Linked DNA regions of Ovis aries. The protein of the gene in region 2 interacts with the protein of the main gene of each other region in a biochemical or structural test. Links are inferred from orthologs where the notes say so. Each region holds a gene or a part of one and is shown on either strand. Other genes may lie near its edges. The genes, in order: MEF2A, MAPK14, RB1, DUSP10 and MBP.

Region 1 (3,512 bases), on a different chromosome or scaffold from region 2:
ATTAGTTGGACTATCATATTGTGTGGTGGCCCCATGAGTGCTGTAGTTAAGTGATCATACAAAACAAATATAGTCATGATACCGCTCTGCTTAAAACCTTTTTATGGCTTCCCAATGCTTTCAAGATCATGTCCAAAAGTCCTCAGCAAGGTGTATGCATCCCAACCTGCCTCTGTGGTTTCAACTCTACAGCCATCCAGACCCATCAGCCATGCTCCTGCTGTCTCTGCACACAGAGCTCCCCATTCCTGGAGCACTCTCCCTACTCTGCCTGGCTGAGGCAGGTCCAAGCCTCTTCAGGTCAAAGCTTCAGTATGGCCCTTAACACGAAGGTGATAAATTACTCCTAGAGCTATTTGTCTTGTGTGTTTCTCCTCTGATAGACCCTACGTTCCATTGTTAACTGTGCTCCTGTGTATTTCCAGTGCCTGACACAGTGCTTGTCACACAGAACACACTCTATATCTGTGCTGAATGGATCCATGAATAAGTTGAGAAGCTGGGAGTGATCTTACAGATGGGCATGAGGAAGTGTCTATATGATTCCTCTACACAGAACTACTGTACTTTTTGAAATGTTGCTCACTTATTCATCCCTGTACTGACTAACTGGCACTTGTTTGATTCTTAACTATGTACAGAAAGGTAGTTGATATACTAATGAAAGACAAATTATAGATGCATGTTTTAAAAAGATAAATACATTAAAGATAATGTGGTAACATTAAACAGAACAGGTGCTCTGAGAGAGAAGTAAGTAGTTACAGGAGTGAGACTGATAAGGGATGGTTTCAAGAGAATGTGACTCCATTTCTGTGTTTTGGTAATTGCTTCTGGACTTTGGAAAAAATATTCTTTAAAGCCAATGGCATTTCTAAAAACAAATATAGTGGGATATCTAAGTTTTCTATTGGAAAAACCTGTCATGAAATGCTCAGTAAACTGTAATGTAACGGTGACACCCAGCTCAAGAACCATCTCCTTGGCCAACGCTCCTCTGAACATTCTAGCTCACAAATTTTCTACCTTCCTCACCTTCTCAAGATCAGAGTATAAACTGGTAACCTCAACAACTCAGGACTTCCCCTCCATAGGTTACCAGCTTGGGTATGTCTCCTTTTCCAGAATAAACCTGGGAGAAAATGTATGTCCCTAGACCAGTGTTGCTCATATAGCTGGTGACCAGGGCAATGAAACAGAATTTCTATGAACATATAATCCCTGGGTTTACTCTAGATTTAGTTGATGGATTTGGATATTTTTTTTAATATTGACTGTTGGAAAAGGTAGTAGACATTTCCTAAGAAGCTTTCTTTTCAACAAAACCATTTAAAGTTGTTTTTGTTTTAAAAGAACTACTTGGAATTAAAGCAGCAATCAAATGTATCAATGGCTCTGCACCCCTCAGGGAGCTCCACAGATCAGGGTGAAAGACTGTGCTACAGCATTTACCCTGAAGTCTGAAATTAGATGATCTTTATTCATCTGTTTATCAGAATCACAAAAGAATAAATGCCCTGCCCTGTGGTCTCTGAAAAACTGGCAAGGTATTTTTAACTCTTTCCCTCGCTCCTCCACCTTTTGAGGCATCAGGTGTTTGGCTCAGCTAGTGAGAAAGGGAAGCTCCCCGACGTGTCCTCTGCCAATCCCTAAATGGCACATCTAGAGAAACCGTCATACACTGGGCTCTCCACACAGTGAAAGCACCCCTCCAATCACTGCAGTATTTTTAAACTTACCTAATATACTCTCTAAATAGGGTATTTGTGGATGAAAAGTCTAAATTACATGAATGAGTGAAAAGCTCGCCTCAGAGGTGAGGAGTGACTGGCTTTGAAGAGAAGTAAGAAAGCTCCTGGTCTTGCCCCCGAGGCACAAACAGTATAAACCAAATGGGCTATCACATGGAGGAAACTGTGACCTGCTGACACAGCCACCTAGATCCACCTCCCTGAGTCCTGAGGTCCCAAGGGATGCAGCCTTTCCCGAGGCAGGTTGACATAGCATACAGAAAAACATCTTATTTCAGAAGCTTGGAAGAGTGAGATGCTATGTAACAAGAACTACATAGAAAACACCAACTGTTTTGCTCCGTTTGCTGTGCGTCATAATTTGATAACAGCTAGCTGTCTCTCAGGGGTAAGCAGAAGTTCATGCTGGGGAATCTTTCTATAATCAATGTGTACAATGTATTTCATTAACATATCCAACTGTGAATCTAAGAAACTTGAAATAATTTATTTCAATAAATATATATTTTTTTAAATCACAAAAGCACACACTGAAACAAAACAAAGCAAAAAACCCCACAAAAGGCAACAGGGCAGGCTCACCTGTGTTGTAGGCGGTCGGCATTGCTGAGTACACCAGGCCCTGCGGAGGCAGGCTTGGAGTTGTCACAGACACCACTGGGGTAGCTAGGGGTTGAGTGGCTTGAGAACTGCTTATCCTTTGGGTATTCTGTGAGAGAGTAGAAAAAAGTGTTATTCTATGAGTATTTATATTTAAGCTTAATATTTAAAATAGAATGTTCAATTTAAAAGTGACATTTTTCACAGTTTTATGATGTGAACATCATTCCCTGAAGCAAGTGATCATGTGAAAACTTTAAAAATACTAATGAGAATAACTAAATATTTAATTTTAAGGGATGTGTTTTGCATTAATCATTCATTTTCCCCTAGTGCCTTTTTCAGAGAGTTTATTGATGTCAGAGATACATCCTTAAAATAGAAACTTGCATTAGAGCTGATAACACTTATATGCTAACATAAATGAGGACTTGAGGCCCCAACTTATAAAGACTGCCAGGCTACCCTACCTAAGTAAGATATGTGTAGATTTTAAATACCTGAGGATAGCAAGGTTATCTGTGTATATAGAGATTATAAGTCCACGAGAGTCCAAGAGAGTTCAAAACTACTTCTATTTGCTGGATTTACAAGTTAACAGGGTTTTAAGTCATAGCTTACTAAACTGCAGCTTGTATTCATATTTCCTTCCCCGAGATCCTGCAGTAAACACACAAATATGTATATGTGTATGTATTTAGATATAAATTTTTATTAAGATTTTTTTAAAGAACAGTTTTAGGTTCACAGAAAAATTGATGAAAAGGTACAGAGATTTACCATATACTCCCTGACCCTATCTATACATGCAGAGCCTCTCCCATCATCCGCCATTGACCTGTTTTTTAATGGCAGACTCAGCCATGTATCCCTTCTCCGGACGCTTATGAATGGAGAAGCTTTGAGTAGAGAGTTTTAAAATAAAATATAATACTTCTGATAGGGCTGCGGATGACCAGCGGTAAATGCTTGCTGACCGACTGCATCTACACAGCATCCCATCTACAGTGGGAGTGAAACAAAATGAACTACAGAATAATCAAGTCAGTTTAAGACAGTCACCATTCTGTAAGGGTATGGGTATCAAAGAGCAGTTTCTCACAATGCTGCCTCAAGCAAACACGTTCTAAAACTGAGAATCAGCGAAACAGAGACTCCAAG
Region 2 (4,167 bases):
AGTTTAGTTCCCTTTACCCCTTAAGAAGGAAAGGTATGTTTGTAAAACTCTAATACTCAAAGTTCTATTTTGATTTCTTGATCTTTCATTCACGATTAGTTATCATACTTGCGTTACTAGATACTTAGTACAAATGAAAACACTGAAAATTGGCTTATTATTTAATTTTTAAAGTTAACACATCAAAGTGTATCACACTTCAGAGCAATCAAATTAGGAAACTGACACATTATTTCAGTGATGTTGCATTCCTTGAAATACTTTCAGAGATTCTTTTTTGGAACAGACTTCAATCCAGTTCTACAAGTCCCACAGGAAATTCTGTGTCATTACTTTACGGTTACAACTCCTATTTGACCTCAAACAGTATCACCAGCCTGGCTGCCTGATCTTTTTCACCAGACTTGAGCCCAAATTCTCTAAATGATTTGGATTCAATCTAACTTCGTTATTTCCTAAAATCAAATCTGCTCTAAAAAAAAAATGAAGAGAGTGAAAAATAACACAGGCTCCAAAGTGGATTCTAAGAGAAGTTTAAAAAACATTTTTTTTTTCTGCCACACCTAAAAGCTGCTGACTGAAAGAACAACTTGAAATAACTACTCTGAATGAGATAACACATGTGAATGTAAATTCTGATATTTTCAATCCAAAATCAACTATACTTGTTTACGGTCAACTGTCACATAATATTGGTTATTTTTCTCCACCAATATGTTATAGGTTACACCTTAAACAACCTTAGCAGAACTGCCTCCACAGAAAGACACACAAGAAACTTAACAGGGGTGGTCTCTTGAGAAAAGAACTAGTCCAGCTGGACAAAGAGAATGGAAACTTTTCACTGTCTTTCTATGCCTTTTACATTTTATACAATGTGAATGTACTACCTACTTTTAAAAACCTGTTTAACAAAATTACTTCCAAGTGTCAGTTTTGATGGCTTCTATAAACCAGAAAAATAAAGCACTAAAAAATGTGGAGTTCATGTTTTATCAGCACTTCACTGGATCTCCAGTGCCAGGGCTGAGTTACTCACATCAACTGTAGGGAAACCTTGCAAGCAGTTCACTAACTCCCCACAGTTGAGCCGTATCACTCCACTAAAGTTTAAACAACAATGATAGGAAACAAAAATTCAGTACCACAAAAATTAATGTGTCAATTCCAGAATGAAAACTGGCCGTAAACAAGTGAGCTATTAAAGCAGCAATGATCCAAACACATCTTCGAAAATTAGCGAATCAACAGCACGCTATAAAAATGGAAAAAAGATGTCAAGCATAGGGCCATCAGCGACATCACTCAAGCAGCCTGAACTAGAAAACGCAATATGATCTGTTGCTGGACACAATTGCACAATCTCAATTACCCAGAAGATTCTACCAAACAGGAAATTCATGCTGGGGCTTTAAGAAACACAGGAATTATATTCAAAGATTACCAAGTCTAAAAGCCTGGAACCTGCCCCGAAACAAAAAACTAATTTTGTAGACCTCTTTGCAAATAATGCATGCACAGGAATTACATGAATTAGCTTCAGGTCAGCTCTCAAATTACACAAAATCTAAAATACAGTGTATAAAACCTTAGAAGTTAGAAAAGTTAGTGAACTGAGTCTGGAAATTTTACAGTAGCGTTTCATTTAAAAGACATTCATAGTGTGAATTAAAGCTGAAAAGTGTCTCTTCCTTCTTTTGCTATATATTCCATATCCCATGAAAACCATTATGTACCTCTCAGGCCTTAAGTGCAGATTAAGTTCTCTGCAAACCCTCTAAAGGACTTTAAAAACACAGTGTTTCACAAGAATTATCACGATTAAAAAATATTTATAATACATCGCAGCATTGTTAAAAACTTTTTGATCTTGAGGGCGTCCAACGGATCTGAACCTCACTTGCTCCAAAGGAGAAAATCGTTTTGTCAAACAATACTTAAATGAGCAGTGGTATGTGACTAATCAGCGAGGCCGCCAGCTTCTCAAGCTGCAGGCACTACCACCACCCCCCACTCTGCGAAAAGGAAATACGCTTTCAACTGAATCGGAAACACACCACTCAAGCTGGCACAGGGCTCACCGAGATAAAGTCGGTATTTTAAGCTCCCTGGATAGCTGCTAATTCAAGTGCGAATTCAAAAAGAACCCTTCTCAAAATGCAATTTCGACAGAGGTTTGCAAAAAAGCCCGAACTCAACGCCCTTCGTCCTCAGTTTTGTTCAGATGACCGCAGTCGAGCTTTGCCCTTCTGCTTCTCCGGGCAGCTTCCCGGGCTTGTCTGCTCCGAGGGCAGGCACATCTCGAGAGAGTCCTTCTGCTCGATGCCAGCAGGGAGAGACCTCCGAAGAGGGACCCCTGTTCCTGCCCCCGTAGCAGCACCGCCCCCCCACCCCCACCCCCACCCCCAAGGGAACGCGCAGGGTGCGAGTCAGGGCCCGGCTCCAACACCATCACCCACCGCCCACAGCGGACCTGCGTCCTACACACAGCTGACCATCTACGTGGGCGTGCAGGGTGGGGGTGCAAGGGGGACAGGGAGTGCAGGACAGGGGTCGAAGAGGGCTGGGATGCCCTCCCCCCAAGGAAAATTCCTGCCGCTGGGTGCATTGCTGAGCCGTGGGGGCAGGCCTGACTCCAGGGCATACGGAGACACCCGGCCCAGCGAGGCCCCCGGCCCGGTGACACTCACCACACAGAGCCATAGGCGCCGGAGCCCACCGGGGACAGGTTCTGGTAACGCTCGGGCACCTCCCAGATGGTCTTGTTCAGCTCCTGCCGGTAGAACGTGGGCCTCTCCTGAGACATCTTCCAGCGGTGGCCGCGGGGCGAGGAGGTGGCCCTTGCAGGGCCCCGCCTGCACCCGCACCCGCTTCCCCTGACCTCGTAGCCCGCCCGGCCGGGCGGGGACCCCTGCGCTGGCCGCCCGCGCAGGTGCGGCTGCGGCGACCCTGAAGAAGCCCGCGCGCGCGCGCGGCCCCTGTCAGCCGCAGCGGCTGGACGCGCCTCACCGACGGCGGGGGAAGCACTGCGAAGGGCCGGGGCACGCTCCGGGGCCCTGGGCTGGCGCCCCGCCCAGCTCTCCCTGCGCTCTCTCCACACCCGGCCGACTCCCGGCTGCGCGGCGGGGTCACAGCTCCAGCTGCAGCGCCCGCGGAGCTTCCAGTGGTCGCCTTTCCCAGAGCCAGCGAACAGGAGCCTCCCGCCGTGCTCTCGCGAGAACAGCTCCCGGACCTCTCCTCGAGCCGAGATTTTACCCAATATGGAACCTGCCCGCGGGAGGGGGGTTGATGAAGGGAGAGCTTGGGAGAAGTAATTCTCGCGAGAAGAGAGCAACAGCTGGCCCCTAGAGGCAGGAACTCCCAGGGATTGCTCTCCTTTAGCGCGCGAAGGCGGACCCGGGAAGGAGCGGAGAAGCAGACGATACAGGCCGCGCGCGCCCCATCGTGGTCGGCGGGGCAAGTGCTTGGCTCCCTGTTGGAAAGAGACAGTGACAAATCAATCGGGTGTCTGGGAAAAGAGCCAAAAGACCTTTAAACGGTGGGTAATCACCAGCAGCTGAGCACCTGCTCGGCGGAAAACCCCCAATTTCCAAGAAGTACTTGCATAAAAAAGAGAAAGATTCCGGCCAGAAAGCCGTTGTAGTCCCATCTGCTCAAGGACATACACTTACTCTTCGGAATGCTGACGAAATCTGTCTCAAAGGTAAATATTAGCCCTGAATTAAGGTTGAGGTTTTTCCACCCAGACACTTCTAGTAGTTCTCAAACTTTTACGTGCAGAAGAAGCACCTTGGGCGCTTAAAAATGAACAGCGAGTTTGATTAGATGGGTCCCAGAGGGACTCCAAGACTGTGCATTTTTACAAAATGCGCCAGGTTCAGAAAAGTTCTTGGTATCTCCCTTGGAGAAACATTTTAAAACCTTTACCCTGAAGGTTTGAAACTGATTCCTACCTTGAAGAGCTTCCAGCAAAGAGGGTTTTAAGAATTGTAATCATGCCTCTCAGAGTAAGAACAGTGCAGATAGTGGTTTTCTGGCAGTATCCTGTTGGGCAAGTCAATTGACCTTTCTTAGACCTTAGTTCCAGTTTATGCAAAAAAGAATTGCTGCCCTGAAATTTCCCACCTGAAAGCTGAACAAGATAATAAATGTGAATGGGCAAGGTAT
Region 3 (3,512 bases), on a different chromosome or scaffold from region 2:
AAATAAAGGATGCCTTCAACATACCCTGGTGGAAGCATACTGCAGAATATTTGTTTTCAGTCTCTGCATGAAGACTGAATTATAGAATACGATAATGGAATCATACTCCTCTTCTCTGATCAAAACACGTTTGAATGTCTGAGGAAGAAGAGCAAAAATACTTGTTAAATGAATTTGGGAATTTATCTCTTTAGAGTTTCTATTTTAATAGTTCATGATACTTTTTAACAGTAAAAAGATGCATTACTTTATAGGAAAAAACAATCTAAAGAAGCCATTTTAGGCTTGGATTATAGCTGTTCTACTGGAAGTGAAAAGTCATACATATATACTGTATGTGTTTTATGTATATATATATATATGTTTATTACAAATATTCTGCTTATTGGCATAATACAGTGTTCCCTATTTATTTTATAATATGAATTTGAATATTAAAGTGTTAGCTTCCCAACTGGAGAAAGAAATGGCAACCCACTCCAGTGTTCTTGCCTGGAGAATCCCAGGGACGGGGGAGCCTGGTGGGCTGCCATCTACGGGGTCGCACAGAGTCGGACACAACTGAAGCGACTTAGCAGCAGCAGCAGCAGCTTCCCAATTACATTTTAACTACAAATAATTAACTAATAATATGAAAATTAAAAGTGGACATGTAAATTTATACAAATCAGTCAGAACATATGGTACAATTAATGACTAAAGTTATCCGTATTATAGATAATGGATATTTTTGAAAACTCTTATCATGGAAAATTACCTACCTCCTGAACAGCATGAGGAAGATCTTTGTACGCTGTGACAATGATTTTGAATTTAAGGTCTATATTCTTCACTTTGCATATGCCATACATGGAACACATCATAATCTAGTAAATGAATTTGATACAAAAGCAGTCAGGGTTTTGCTACATGGCTGTGCTCAGAGGATGAGATGGCTGGATGGCATCACCGACTCAATGGATATGATGAGTCTGAGTGAACTCCAGGAGTTGCTCATGGACAGGGAGGCCTGGCGTGCTGTAGTCCATGGGGTGGCAAAGAGTCAGATATGACTGAGCGACTGAACTGAACTGTGGTCTAAAACACACTGTTATCTTTCTTTCAGTTAAAAAAAAAAAGGAAATTTAATCTCCCACAGAATTATCTTTTCCTGTCCTGAGCTCATTTGGCACTGTTTTAGATCAACTATTCTTACGCCTCATGCTTTTTCCACACCTAATGAATTCTAGTTTACAACAACACAGAAAACGCCTATGATAAAATTTCTTCAGTGGTTTCTGCAACAAGAGCTTTCATGTCATGAAATAAGTAAATACTGAAATATTCTCAAACTCTAAAGCTCTCATTTGTAAAAAATACAGCAAAAATATAAAGGGTAGCCAGTAAGCAAATATATGTTAACTACATTGATGCAGCTTCTCATTTGAATCCAAACTTTTCTTAAGAAATCAGTACATAGCTAACAAGTAAGCAGGAGAAGAAAAGAGAAGTGCATAATTTCCTTACCTGGTCCAAATGCCTGTCTCTCATGAGTTCATACTCATTTTGCAGTGTGTGCTGGAAAAGGGTCCAGATGATATGCTCTAGCTCTGGGTGGTCAGACAGAAGGCGTGCACACAGGGTGTTCAGTCGAAGATATGCTAGTCGATACACTGGAAAAATAAGGGGAATTAATCATATTTACTCTTAATTTTGTATCACAGGTAGATATTTTCAAAATATTAAACTGTTATAATAAAATGCTGTTAAATAGCATTTAACGTTGACTTATGATTTCTCACTATTTTCCTTATGATTTCTAGTCTTAGGACTATTCTACATACACAGAAGGCAAAACAATATTTGGCTGAAAATACTATTCAGCAAAAATAATTCTTTTGCTGAATTATTATAGCATAAAGTTGAAGCAGAAATGAAAATCAGAGGAAGAAAGATCCTAAGATACTGTGAAATTAGACAACCCAAATACTGTTTGTTTCAGTTTCATTGGTAATCACTCATCACAGATGTTGAATACTTTATCAATATTCAAGAGTAATTATTTTTTAAAATAACAGAATTTCCAAACTCCCTTAATTTTTTCAATCCTGAAAACAAAAAACAAATAGTGTATTTCTCTATAAAAATGCTAGACTTGTAGATTGCCTAAGTGGTAATATGACTGTGATATTAAATATATTGCGCAAGTTTATTTAAAAATACTACTGGAACACAGGTTGGAGAAAAGTAATCCACAAAACTGAATTTTCCTCCATCTGGTTTAAATGCACCTGTCAAAGACTTGCATAAAGTAATCAGAATTTTTTAGTTAATAATTTATCCCACTGGCACTGGTCTTCAACTTTGGCTTACATCAGACTTGCACTGAGGACTTGTTAAAACAAGGATTATTTCCTCATCCTACTAGAGTCTCTGATCGAGTAGTTCTAGCATTAGGGGCTCAAACAAAAATTCTCCTTTCTGCAGCTTATCGAGTAAGGTGGATTCTGCTGGTTGGGGACCACACTTTGGAACCACTGCTTTAATTCAAGGACTTATAACATGCCTATAAAGCTCAGTATATTTGCTTTATCCAAGTCAGAAATAAGATTTATCACAGAGGAATCTGGCCTTCTACCTTTCTTCAAAGAGCTTCAAGTGGGTGTGCACTTGCATGTACATGCACAGACACCCAAATGACCTCCCCACCCCATCACACACACACAATCAGAAAATGCTGTACAACCTGGTCACCAGGAAATGCATCTGCATTAGGCCACAACCCATTGTATAATCCCAACGTACACATCTCAACAGAGGAAGTAATGTTAGGGGCAAATATTTCCGAGCATAAATTTGAAAGCGTAACAGTAAGCAGCAACAATAACAACATCTGACACTTTCTGAGTGCTTACTATGTGCTAGACACTCTTGGAAGCATTTTATGTATTCATTCACTTAATTATCTCAAAACCCAAATAAGGTAGGTTATTATTATTTCCATTTTACGGATGAGGAAACTGAGGCATAGAGCTTTTAAAGTGACTTGCCCAAAGTCATACCTAGTAAGCCGAAGAGCAAAGATTTGAATCCAGTCAGCCTGGTTTCAGAGTCCACGATCTTCAAAGTAATCATCTACTAACCTTTTTTGTAGAAGAGTGAAAGGGAGGTAGATTTCAATGGCTTCTGAGTCTGGAAGGCTGAGGTTGCTTGTGCCTCTGAATTTGGAGTAGAATTTGCACGTGGAGTTGACGCTTTTTTCTTTGGGGATCTTACAGGAGAAAGGTACCTAGATATATTCAAAGGAAAAGTCTTCATGTGAAGTTTTCTCAGAATCTCTCTCTTTCACAGATACACAAACACACACAGCTGGACACATGCATCCAAACACATCTTGTCTATTTAATCCACTGTTTTACACCAAAGTCCTATTTAAATACAAGTTGGAAAAGAGAGCTTATGAGGAAAACTAGGCTTGCTGTTATCATTTCTAACCCTATTTTAATAAATGGCCTTTCCTAGAAATTACTGCC
Region 4 (4,240 bases), on a different chromosome or scaffold from region 2:
CATCTTCTTGGCCAAGTCATTGGGGTAGATTATTTTGATGCTGGCTAGCTGTTTAGGGGTCCCTGCCACGGGGCTGCCCACCCCACCTGATGGACTTAGAGAGCCTGCATTCTCATTGTTGTTGACCATCTGGCTGGCAGGACAGGTGGTGGAGCTTCCGATGGCAGTGGTGGCGGGGCCAGCGGCAATGGCCTGGGTTGGGGCCTGATTGTCCTTGTCGTAGGTTGCCACAGTGCAGCAGCTGGCACTGCTGCACCCACAATTCAGGGAGCGGGCAGAGCCGCTGGATGAGGGCATATACGTCAGATTCGCAGCCTTTAGGGACACAACGGTGGTGGCGATGACAGGAGGGTGGCTGGTACTGCCAGGGGCGGTAGAGCCAAGGTAGCTAGAGTCTAAACAAAGGTTGAGATCCTGAGGTCGAACGGGCCTAGACAGTGCCACCACTACCCTGTCGTCTAAAGGAGACGGAGGCATGAGGAGGCTGAAAACTGGCAATTCAAGAAGAACTCAAGACAGTCTGTAAAGAAGGGGAGGGGGGGAAAGAAAGAATAAAGTCATGTGACACAAAAAGCAGTCGAATCCAATCCCTAGGAAAGGACTTTGCATCCCTCTTAGTGAAGTTGTCCTAAGTGCCCAGTTTCCTGTCACTCAAAGCTTGACACTCACCACTATGGATTCAAAGAGGATGCACGCCTGAGGACCATCCCCCTCCCCACCCCCTGTCCTTGCTGAGTCTAAGGTTAGATATAGTCTATGCAAATGTTGAACAACCTTTCATGGACCCACATCCAAGTTCAGCCTTAGAAAAAGTACAAGCACAAAGGATCAGAAAAGCTCAAGATGGAAGGGAAGGTTCTTAAGAGGCATCTCTTCTGGGCCTCATCTCCAGGGCAGAAATATACTGCAATCATCTGAGAAGGACCCATACGTCCACCCTTGCATACTTTCCATGTAATTCCTTCAGCCACTGCAAAGGCAAAGGAATGACCAAGAGTGCTGGCAAGGCTCATGGGAATATACAGCAGCTAAATATACATCAGGGGCAGATGTCAACTTTCTGCACATCAGAATGAAAGTAGCCCTCTAAGTGAATCTCTTTAATTTTGAGCTATTCTTACTTTTCTTTCTCCCAAGTCCTTTGAAAAGCACAACAAAGTCATATTAAAACCTCCCTTGTTTCCTATTGCCCTCTTATTTATAAAGTAATCTGCATTTCCTCTTTCATTACATACTGGTCCCCTAAAATGAAGCCTCAAGCTAGGGAAGCAGGTTTGAAAACCCTGACCCTGACAGATCCATCCCTCAGATGTCTCCCTTGCCACACCACCCACTCCACTCCTGCCTTTAAGGAAAGGACCACTTCAACCCTCCATTCTCCTCCTTTCCCTACAGGAACATCCTAGAGCTTCTCTCAGCAGAAGGCAGCCACTATGCATAATCTTTTGATCTCACACAGACGTGCCCCCTCTTCAAGAGGATGGATTCATAAAGACTTCCCAGTGAGAAGTAAAGAGTCACCCACAGGGGTCTATGTCCTGGCTCATGAGAGGGTACCTGCAAAGGGACAGTTCCTTCCTCCCCATGGGCATAGAGGCACTCCACTCCCGGGCCCTGCTGGCTCCTCTCCTGCTAGACATACACACAGAGGAGACACCAAACGCCATGCAAGAGGAGCTCATCTAAACCAACTTTAAGAGATGTCTGGAAAAATGTCATCCAACATCCCTCTACACAGGACTGTCACCATTCTCAGACACAGAGCCAAAATGTCACAGGCAGAATACACACACACACACACACACACACACACGGGCACGCACCTATCACATCCACAGATCCCCCCGCTGGCCTCAGCTTTCTCTCACCACCTTTGGATGGGCAAGAAGAATCCAACCCCTGTTCTCCCTCCCTTTCTCCTTTCTTCCCTCCCTCCCCCGCCCCTTCCTCCCTTGCGTAGTATTTTTTGAAGAGCGAGTACTATTCCAGAAGCTATAACTGTTTCCCAGCTGGACCCAGCGGTGAAAAGTCTTTGCTGTTGTGTTACCTGGTAGGGTACGTCCCAGGATCAACAGTCCATTTCCCTTGAGAGGGACGCAGAAGCGTGCTCACGGAGACATAAGCTGGGACCCCCACCTCCACACAGAGTGCGCGGCGCGCACACACGCTCGCTCTCTCTCACACACACATACACACACGCACGGAGTGTATAAAGAGACCTGCATCCCTGCAGCAGAGGGTCGGGCATATCTATTGCCCGTGAAACCATCCAGACAGCCTGTAGGAAACCTCCCCGAAAAACACTGAGCTATCCCCCTCCCTCTCTAGTCGCCCTTCCACCTCTAGTTAGCGGCTGGAAAGAAAATTAAGTGGTCAGAGAATGCTGCTTCCCCACTTCGGGGCACTTAACATCCTCCTTCGCAACACAGCGCACTAACAAGTCCCTGGCCTTTAAAACTGCCGCAAAGCATCCCAACAAACCTCATTTTTTCCTTCGCCCCCAGTCCAAGTAGACTGCAGAGAGAGTAAACGCACAGGGCGGCGTGAGCCAACAGCGGGAACACTTTAACCTCACCTGCTGTGGCTCCTCCGTAAACATCGCAACACACACGCGCACACACACACCACATACATACTCACTCACACTCACACCGCCTCAAACCCCTGGACTCTCAGGAGTAGCCACGGTGACTTCCACTTACTTCATAAATAAGTGTAACCCTCCACCATCTGGCGCTCCGCTTCAGCAAGGGATTCGCACATTCAGCCCTCATTCACTAGGCTTCATTGATCTCCAGCAGCAACATAGTTACTTTCTCTTTTGCTACACTGTAAATGTAAGGTTCTGAGGGGGCGGGCCGGCTGCCGACCGACGGCGTGTTGAACCAATAAGAATCCGGAGAAACCTGACCGCTACTTCGCTGCAGCCCGCGACCAATGGGCACCTGGAGGGGGCGGAGCCGGGGCGTGGCCATGGCTCTTTAAGGAGGGTTTATCCGACGCCGCTTTGGGTCCACTGTGTTATAATACGGACGGTGATGTCATTGGCAACCAATCAAAAACTTAAAAGGGCCAACTGGGGCCCGCGCGGAGCAGCTGCTCTCTATTTACATGTAAACCGAACCCGCAGGATGCAGTTAACCCTTTCCGGGGCTGAATTGTCAATGGGCTGTGTTTGCCGCTCCGCCTAAAACTGGCTCTGCGAACTTGGCGGGATCCCTGTACATCGCCTCACCAAGGGACAGACCACGCTGTTTATTTTCCCTTCTTACTCTGGCTGGCTGATCAACCGTGTCAGAATAACTTTCTGAAGGCAAGAGGCAACGACAATAATCACTATCCCCAGCTGGAAAAACGGGTTCCCTGAGTCCCTCGAGGTGACCTGATAAACCGAAGATTCACGGACGTCGCCCAGCTACCCGAGCAGGGGGATAAATGTAAGAGCGCGGCCAGGGACATCGCTTCTTCTACAGTCTGAGCCCGGGGCCACGCGCTGGAGGCCTGGGCTCCAGCGGGACTGGCAAGTCTGCCGTCCGTCCACCGGCAGTGAGGCCCGCCAGCCTCGCCGCGGCCCGAGTCCTCGGGGCCGCCCCGCTTGCTCCGCGCCGCCAGAAAGCATCGACCGCCCGCCCGCAGATGTCGCTGCCCCTCCGGCTGCCCTACTGCTGCCCGGCGCGGCTGTGGCGCGGCGCCCTGTGGCTCGCCTACTTCAGCGCCCCAGTCACGCCCCCGCTTCCCTCGCCTGCCTCCCGGGGCTCCACCCGTAGCTCGAAGGCAGTGATGCGGAGGGCTGCTCGGAGGCGGCAGTCTGGTTCCCAGTCAGAAGCTACAGAGGGCGCGTCCCCGAGGGGCTGCACAGGCGTCACCCCAGAGCCCGCGCGCCCGCCCCGGCCCCCGGGCAAGGCCTCCTGCCCGCTAGCGCCCCCTCTTCCACCCAGCGAGCAAGGTCCCCGCGCCGCGCTCCGCAGAGCTGCGCGCTACCGGCCCGAGGCCCGCCTTCCCCTCGCCCCTCCTCAGTTGCCCGCCACCGTGTAGGGCCCCTGGGAGCCGAGGACCCAACAGCCCGGAGCTTCTGGAACAGCAGCGGCTGGAGGAAAGGAGCTGGAGCTGAGAAGAAATAACCAGCTTGAGTGGAGCCGACGGAGAACTGGAGGCGGCGCCGCCCCTCTAGGTTCTCCTGTATTTCGTCGCCGGAGGGGTCGCGGTCAGAGGTGACCATCTGAGCAAAACAGGGGGTTTG
Region 5 (4,134 bases), on a different chromosome or scaffold from region 2:
GGAAGAGGTGACGAACAGAGACGAGACAGCAGCCTTCCAGTCCCACCACCCTGCAGAGGAAGCACGCTTTGCTGGGTGTAGCCACCCGTTAGTGGTGGGGTTTTAAACAGAAGTGAAATGAAGCTCAGTTGTGTCCGACTCTCTGCGACCCCGTGGACTATCGCCCACCAGGCTCCTCCATCCAAGGAATTCTCCAGGCAACAATGCTGGAGTGGATTGCCATTTCCTTCTCCAGGGAATCTTCCCAATCCAGGGATCAAACCCAGGTCTCCCGCACTGCAGGCAGGGGCTTTAACCTCTGAGCCACCAGGGAAGCCAGAGAAGAAAAAGGCAGCTCGGTGGGTGTTGCAAGTTGCCCTCTTCGCCCTGAAGGGCAGCAACAGGGGCTGGTGTCAGATTTCTGGAACTGAGCCCTGGGCGCCCCCAGGGGATCTCTGTGCCTTGGTTTCCTACTCAGTGAAAATGAGAGTTCTAATAGGCTAGTTACATCAAATGAGGGCATCCTAGGGTATTACACCTGTTAATGCAATGATACGCAGCTCTCAGAAGATGGCCTGGCCACTGGGAAGTGGTCAGAAACGCTACCTGGATACCTGGGGAGAAAAGGCCCAGGGACAGCTGTGATCCAGTGTCAGATTTTTAAAGACTCGAGAGAGAAACTAAAAGTCAAACAACGTAACCTCCCATTAATGTTTAAAAATTCAGGAGGAAAAAGGAAGAATCGCCAGAAACCTTGGTCTCTGCCCTTTTCCGCCTTCATGGATGCCTTTCCTCAGGGCAAGTGGCCAGAGCCATTCCCAGTCCAAACCAGGCTGGAGCGGTTCAACACCAAATCACAGCACAAGTGACTCAAAAGTGTTCTTGTCTTTGGGCAGAAATGGGATAGTTTGGAAAGTTTTTAAAGTGAATTTGAACCAAATAGCTTTTGTTTAACCCTGAGTTAGTAAAGGTAGTCATTTCGGAACAGTTAAACCATTGGGAGCTACTATCAGCCACCATTTTACATAATATTTAACTGGATTCCCTCCTTTCAGGTTTTGGTTTATCCCATTTGGAAAAAAAAAAAAAAGTTGGAGAACAGACGGCCCCTCCCCTGAACTGGGAGAAACAGCTGTGAGGCTGCGACCCAGTGCTGACCATCCCTTCCTGAAGGGCTGCTCCGGCCTAGCTCCGTCTGGGTCTGCACCCCTCTCAGCTCCCCACGTCCACGAAGGCCCCCAGCACTCCAGCGTGACTCTGCCAGGGAGCCGGGGGCAGGACTGAGCCCAGCTCTCGGGGTGTCGCAGACTCCTGGGCCATACTCTGCAAACCGTTTCCCTGGGCTGGGGGGTCTTGTCCAAAAGCCACATGTCTTAAATGGGACACACCCTAAAGCGCCCTTCCTCTGAGAATCTCTCCAGGCCAGGTGTGGAGTCCCTGTCAGAACAGCCAGCGCCCCCAACCGGGTCTGGGTCTCCCCAGACACACTCCAGCCGCGCTGCAGAGGTTGTGAACTCACGGTATGGACTCCCTCACCTTGTCGCTACTGGAAAACAGAGAACCAGAAACCCAAAGGCGCTTGTTTCCTGCCAGAGTCCTACTGAGATCCCCAGAGAAACTCCAAGGCTTCTCCAACCCCACCCTCTGCCTTCCGAAAGGAGAGGAGAAAGGAGAGCCTGGGAGAAACGAGGCAGTGCCCCCAGCAGTCCAGAGGAGCCAGAGCCACCGGGTGCCTGGGGATCGTGCAGAGCACGCGGCACCCTCGGGACGCCGGCCAGTCCCGGGCCCAGGGGGGGCTTCACACCCGGGCGCCAGGCGCGCAGGTGGGCGCAGGTGGACGCGGCGGCGCGGCGGAGCCAGGCCAGGCCTCCGGAAGGCGGAAGCCCGGAGCGTCGCCTGTCGCCGCCCTCGGCGTTCAAAGGGAAACTGGTTTTCGCCCGGGCTGGGGGAGGGGGCAGGCAGGAGTCGGCGGTAAGCTCCAGACGTATCCTTACGGGGCGCGTTAAGCGGCGGGTACCCCGGCCTGCCCTGAAGCTCGCAGCGGTCCCGCACCGCCCAGGGTGGCCTCCTTGACCTTTGCCACCTCCCACCCAAAACTCCACCCCGAGCGCCTCCTACGCTCTGCCCGCGACCCCGGCCCCCGACCCGGCCTTGCCCACACCTGGACACCCGTCGGGGACAGCCCCGCCGCTCCGGGTCGGCGTCTACACCCGCGCTCACCCCTCGCAGAGTGGCCGCCCGGGTGCCACCTGCCGCCACCTGCGCGGCCGCCCGGGGAAGCCCTGCGCCCCGTTCCCGCGTCCCCGCTCCGAGGGCGCAGACAAAGGCACCCGCCCGCCCCCGGCGAGGTCACCCACCGCGCGGCGATCGTCTCTCCAGGCCGCGGGCGCCGCGGGGTCCGGGCCGCCTCCCGCCGCCGGGGCCCCAAGCGCGCGGGGTCCCGGGGCTCCGGCGCCGCCTTCGGGGTCGCGGCCGCGGTCGCCGGGGCCGCAGGCTCGTCCTCGCTGGCGCGGCGGCGCAGTCTGGCTGCAGCTCCGAGGGCCCGGCGCGCCCGCCGCTCCTCCCCCGCCTCCCGGGCTTCCTGCGAGCCAGGTAAACACTGCCTTCGGGAGCCGGGCCTCCCACCTGCCGCCCGCGCGCCGACCGCCTCTCCGCGGCTCCGCCTCGCGGGCTCCGGGCGCACGCGGGCCCCGCGCGGGGCTGCCCTGGGCGGCGCGGACTCCGGCCCGGGCTGAACTGCGGCTCTAGAGCCTCCGCTCGCGGCTGAGCCTGCGAACCACCCCGCCCGAGCGCGGGGAGGGACCAGCGATAGCATCTGCTCCACGCCCCGTTCCGCGGGCGGCGAGGGGCCAAGCGCGGCCGCCCGGCTGACTCTGCTGCGCGGGCTCGGGGTTCAGGGCCGCCGCAAGACTGGCCCCTTGAGAACGCCCGGAGGTCCTCGTGCATCCAGCCTACAGACAGGTGCTCGCCGGAGAGCGGCGCCACAGCGGGAGGGCGCGCCCCGGGGTCTGCGGCCTGAGCATCTGTTGGCTTGCGGTCAGTGTCGAGTTCTTGGTCCGAAGGAAGACTGTCCTTTGGACGTCAGTCACCTGCACACAGTCAGATGGCCCTTCCCCCGACCCCCACCCCGGATTCTCGACCTCCTGATGGTGGAAAAATAGGAGGCGTTGGGGGAGACGCTGGAGTCCTCACGACTTAGATTCCAGGTCGGGGGTCTGATCTGATAGTTCCCGGGAGCCGGCGGGGACCCTCACTGTTTCCCCGGGGGAGCGGAAGTCTGACCCCTGGCAAGGCTCAACCCGGGTCTCCTGGGCGGGCAGAGCGCGCGAGGAGAGCCAGCGCCCAGTGTGGCTTCAGGGCCACCTGTCCCAGCCAGCCCTCACAAACCGGGGGTCTGTGAACCACGTTCCAGGGCTGGTAATGCCACCAGAACGGTGTCCACCATTGCAGAAACATTTGCTTCTTTCCTCGGAAAAGATTCGTCTGGGGGTTTCTGGAGTTGGAGATGGGAGGTCAGGAAGACAGCTGAGCAGTGACGCGGGCTGTGCAGAAGGTGAAGTTTACCTGTTTCCCGGTTTTCTGTGGGGCCTTCCCTCCTTGCAGTAGAGGGTGGCTGGGTGCCGGTAGGGGAGCTGGAGGAATCCAAGGACGCTCAGGGCACTGACAGACCCCAGAAGCTCCCTGACTCCCAGGTCCCTGACTCCAGTCACTCTTAAAATGCAACCCACCCCCCACCCCCATATATACTAGGTTCCACATGGAAGTCAGTTTTAGGTGGCTCAGATAGTGAAGAATCCACCTGCAATGCAGGAGACCCCAGTTCGATCCCTGTATCTGGAAGATCCCCTGGAGAAGGGAATGGCAACCCACTCCAGTATTCTTGCCTGGGAAATCCCACGGACAGAGGAACCTGGCTGGGCTACAGTCCATGGGGCTGCAAAGAGCTGGACATGACTGAGCGACTTTCACTTGAGCATCACAAACCACATCTCATCTGCTTCCCCCAGATGTCTTCCTGGAGTGACCAGGAAACAGGAGGATGGCCTTCTGACCTGCACAGGTCAGTGAGGGCTGAACACTGGGGAGCCCAGGCCACAGGGGAGCAGCAATGTTTGCCCTGCTGCCTGCTTGTAGAAACGTCACCGATGCCAGCAG

The links.
Region 1: of the proteins of MAPK14 (region 2) and MEF2A, one has a biochemical effect on the other in vitro, tested with the Homo sapiens proteins (2 studies listed by BioGRID). The link is inferred for Ovis aries from reciprocal best matches to the Homo sapiens genes MAPK14 and MEF2A.
Region 3: of the proteins of MAPK14 (region 2) and RB1, one has a biochemical effect on the other in vitro, tested with the Homo sapiens proteins (3 studies listed by BioGRID and IntAct). The link is inferred for Ovis aries from reciprocal best matches to the Homo sapiens genes MAPK14 and RB1.
Region 4: the proteins of MAPK14 (region 2) and DUSP10 form a complex in vitro, tested with the Homo sapiens proteins (2 studies listed by BioGRID, with this or other methods). The link is inferred for Ovis aries from reciprocal best matches to the Homo sapiens genes MAPK14 and DUSP10.
Region 5: of the proteins of MAPK14 (region 2) and MBP, one has a biochemical effect on the other in vitro, tested with the Homo sapiens proteins (4 studies listed by BioGRID). The link is inferred for Ovis aries from reciprocal best matches to the Homo sapiens genes MAPK14 and MBP.

The regions. Positions count from the first base shown.
Region 1 is NC_056071.1:6,275,179-6,278,690, forward strand, and holds part of MEF2A (myocyte-specific enhancer factor 2A), read right to left. Parts: intron 2,461-3,512; coding exon 2,334-2,460; intron 1-2,333. UniProt on the Homo sapiens protein: Transcriptional activator which binds specifically to the MEF2 element, 5'-YTA[AT](4)TAR-3', found in numerous muscle-specific genes. Also involved in the activation of numerous growth factor- and stress-induced genes.
Region 2 is NC_056073.1:10,093,456-10,097,622, reverse strand, and holds the start of MAPK14 (mitogen-activated protein kinase 14), read right to left. Parts: upstream 2,809-4,167; 5' UTR 2,807-2,808; coding exon 2,691-2,806; intron 1-2,690. UniProt on the Homo sapiens protein: Serine/threonine kinase which acts as an essential component of the MAP kinase signal transduction pathway.
Region 3 is NC_056063.1:18,563,839-18,567,350, reverse strand, and holds part of RB1 (retinoblastoma-associated protein), read right to left. Parts: intron 3,269-3,512; coding exon 3,123-3,268; intron 1,653-3,122; coding exon 1,507-1,652; intron 867-1,506; coding exon 762-866; intron 139-761; coding exon 25-138; intron 1-24. UniProt on the Homo sapiens protein: Tumor suppressor that is a key regulator of the G1/S transition of the cell cycle. The hypophosphorylated form binds transcription regulators of the E2F family, preventing transcription of E2F-responsive genes.
Region 4 is NC_056065.1:24,475,593-24,479,832, forward strand, and holds the start of DUSP10 (dual specificity protein phosphatase 10), read right to left. Parts: upstream 2,812-4,240; 5' UTR 2,703-2,811; intron 521-2,702; 5' UTR 478-520; coding exon 1-477. UniProt on the Homo sapiens protein: Protein phosphatase involved in the inactivation of MAP kinases. Has a specificity for the MAPK11/MAPK12/MAPK13/MAPK14 subfamily. It preferably dephosphorylates p38.
Region 5 is NC_056076.1:2,418,082-2,422,215, reverse strand, and holds the start of MBP (myelin basic protein), read right to left. Parts: upstream 2,810-4,134; 5' UTR 2,795-2,809; coding exon 2,605-2,794; intron 1-2,604. UniProt on the Homo sapiens protein: The classic group of MBP isoforms (isoform 4-isoform 14) are with PLP the most abundant protein components of the myelin membrane in the CNS. They have a role in both its formation and stabilization.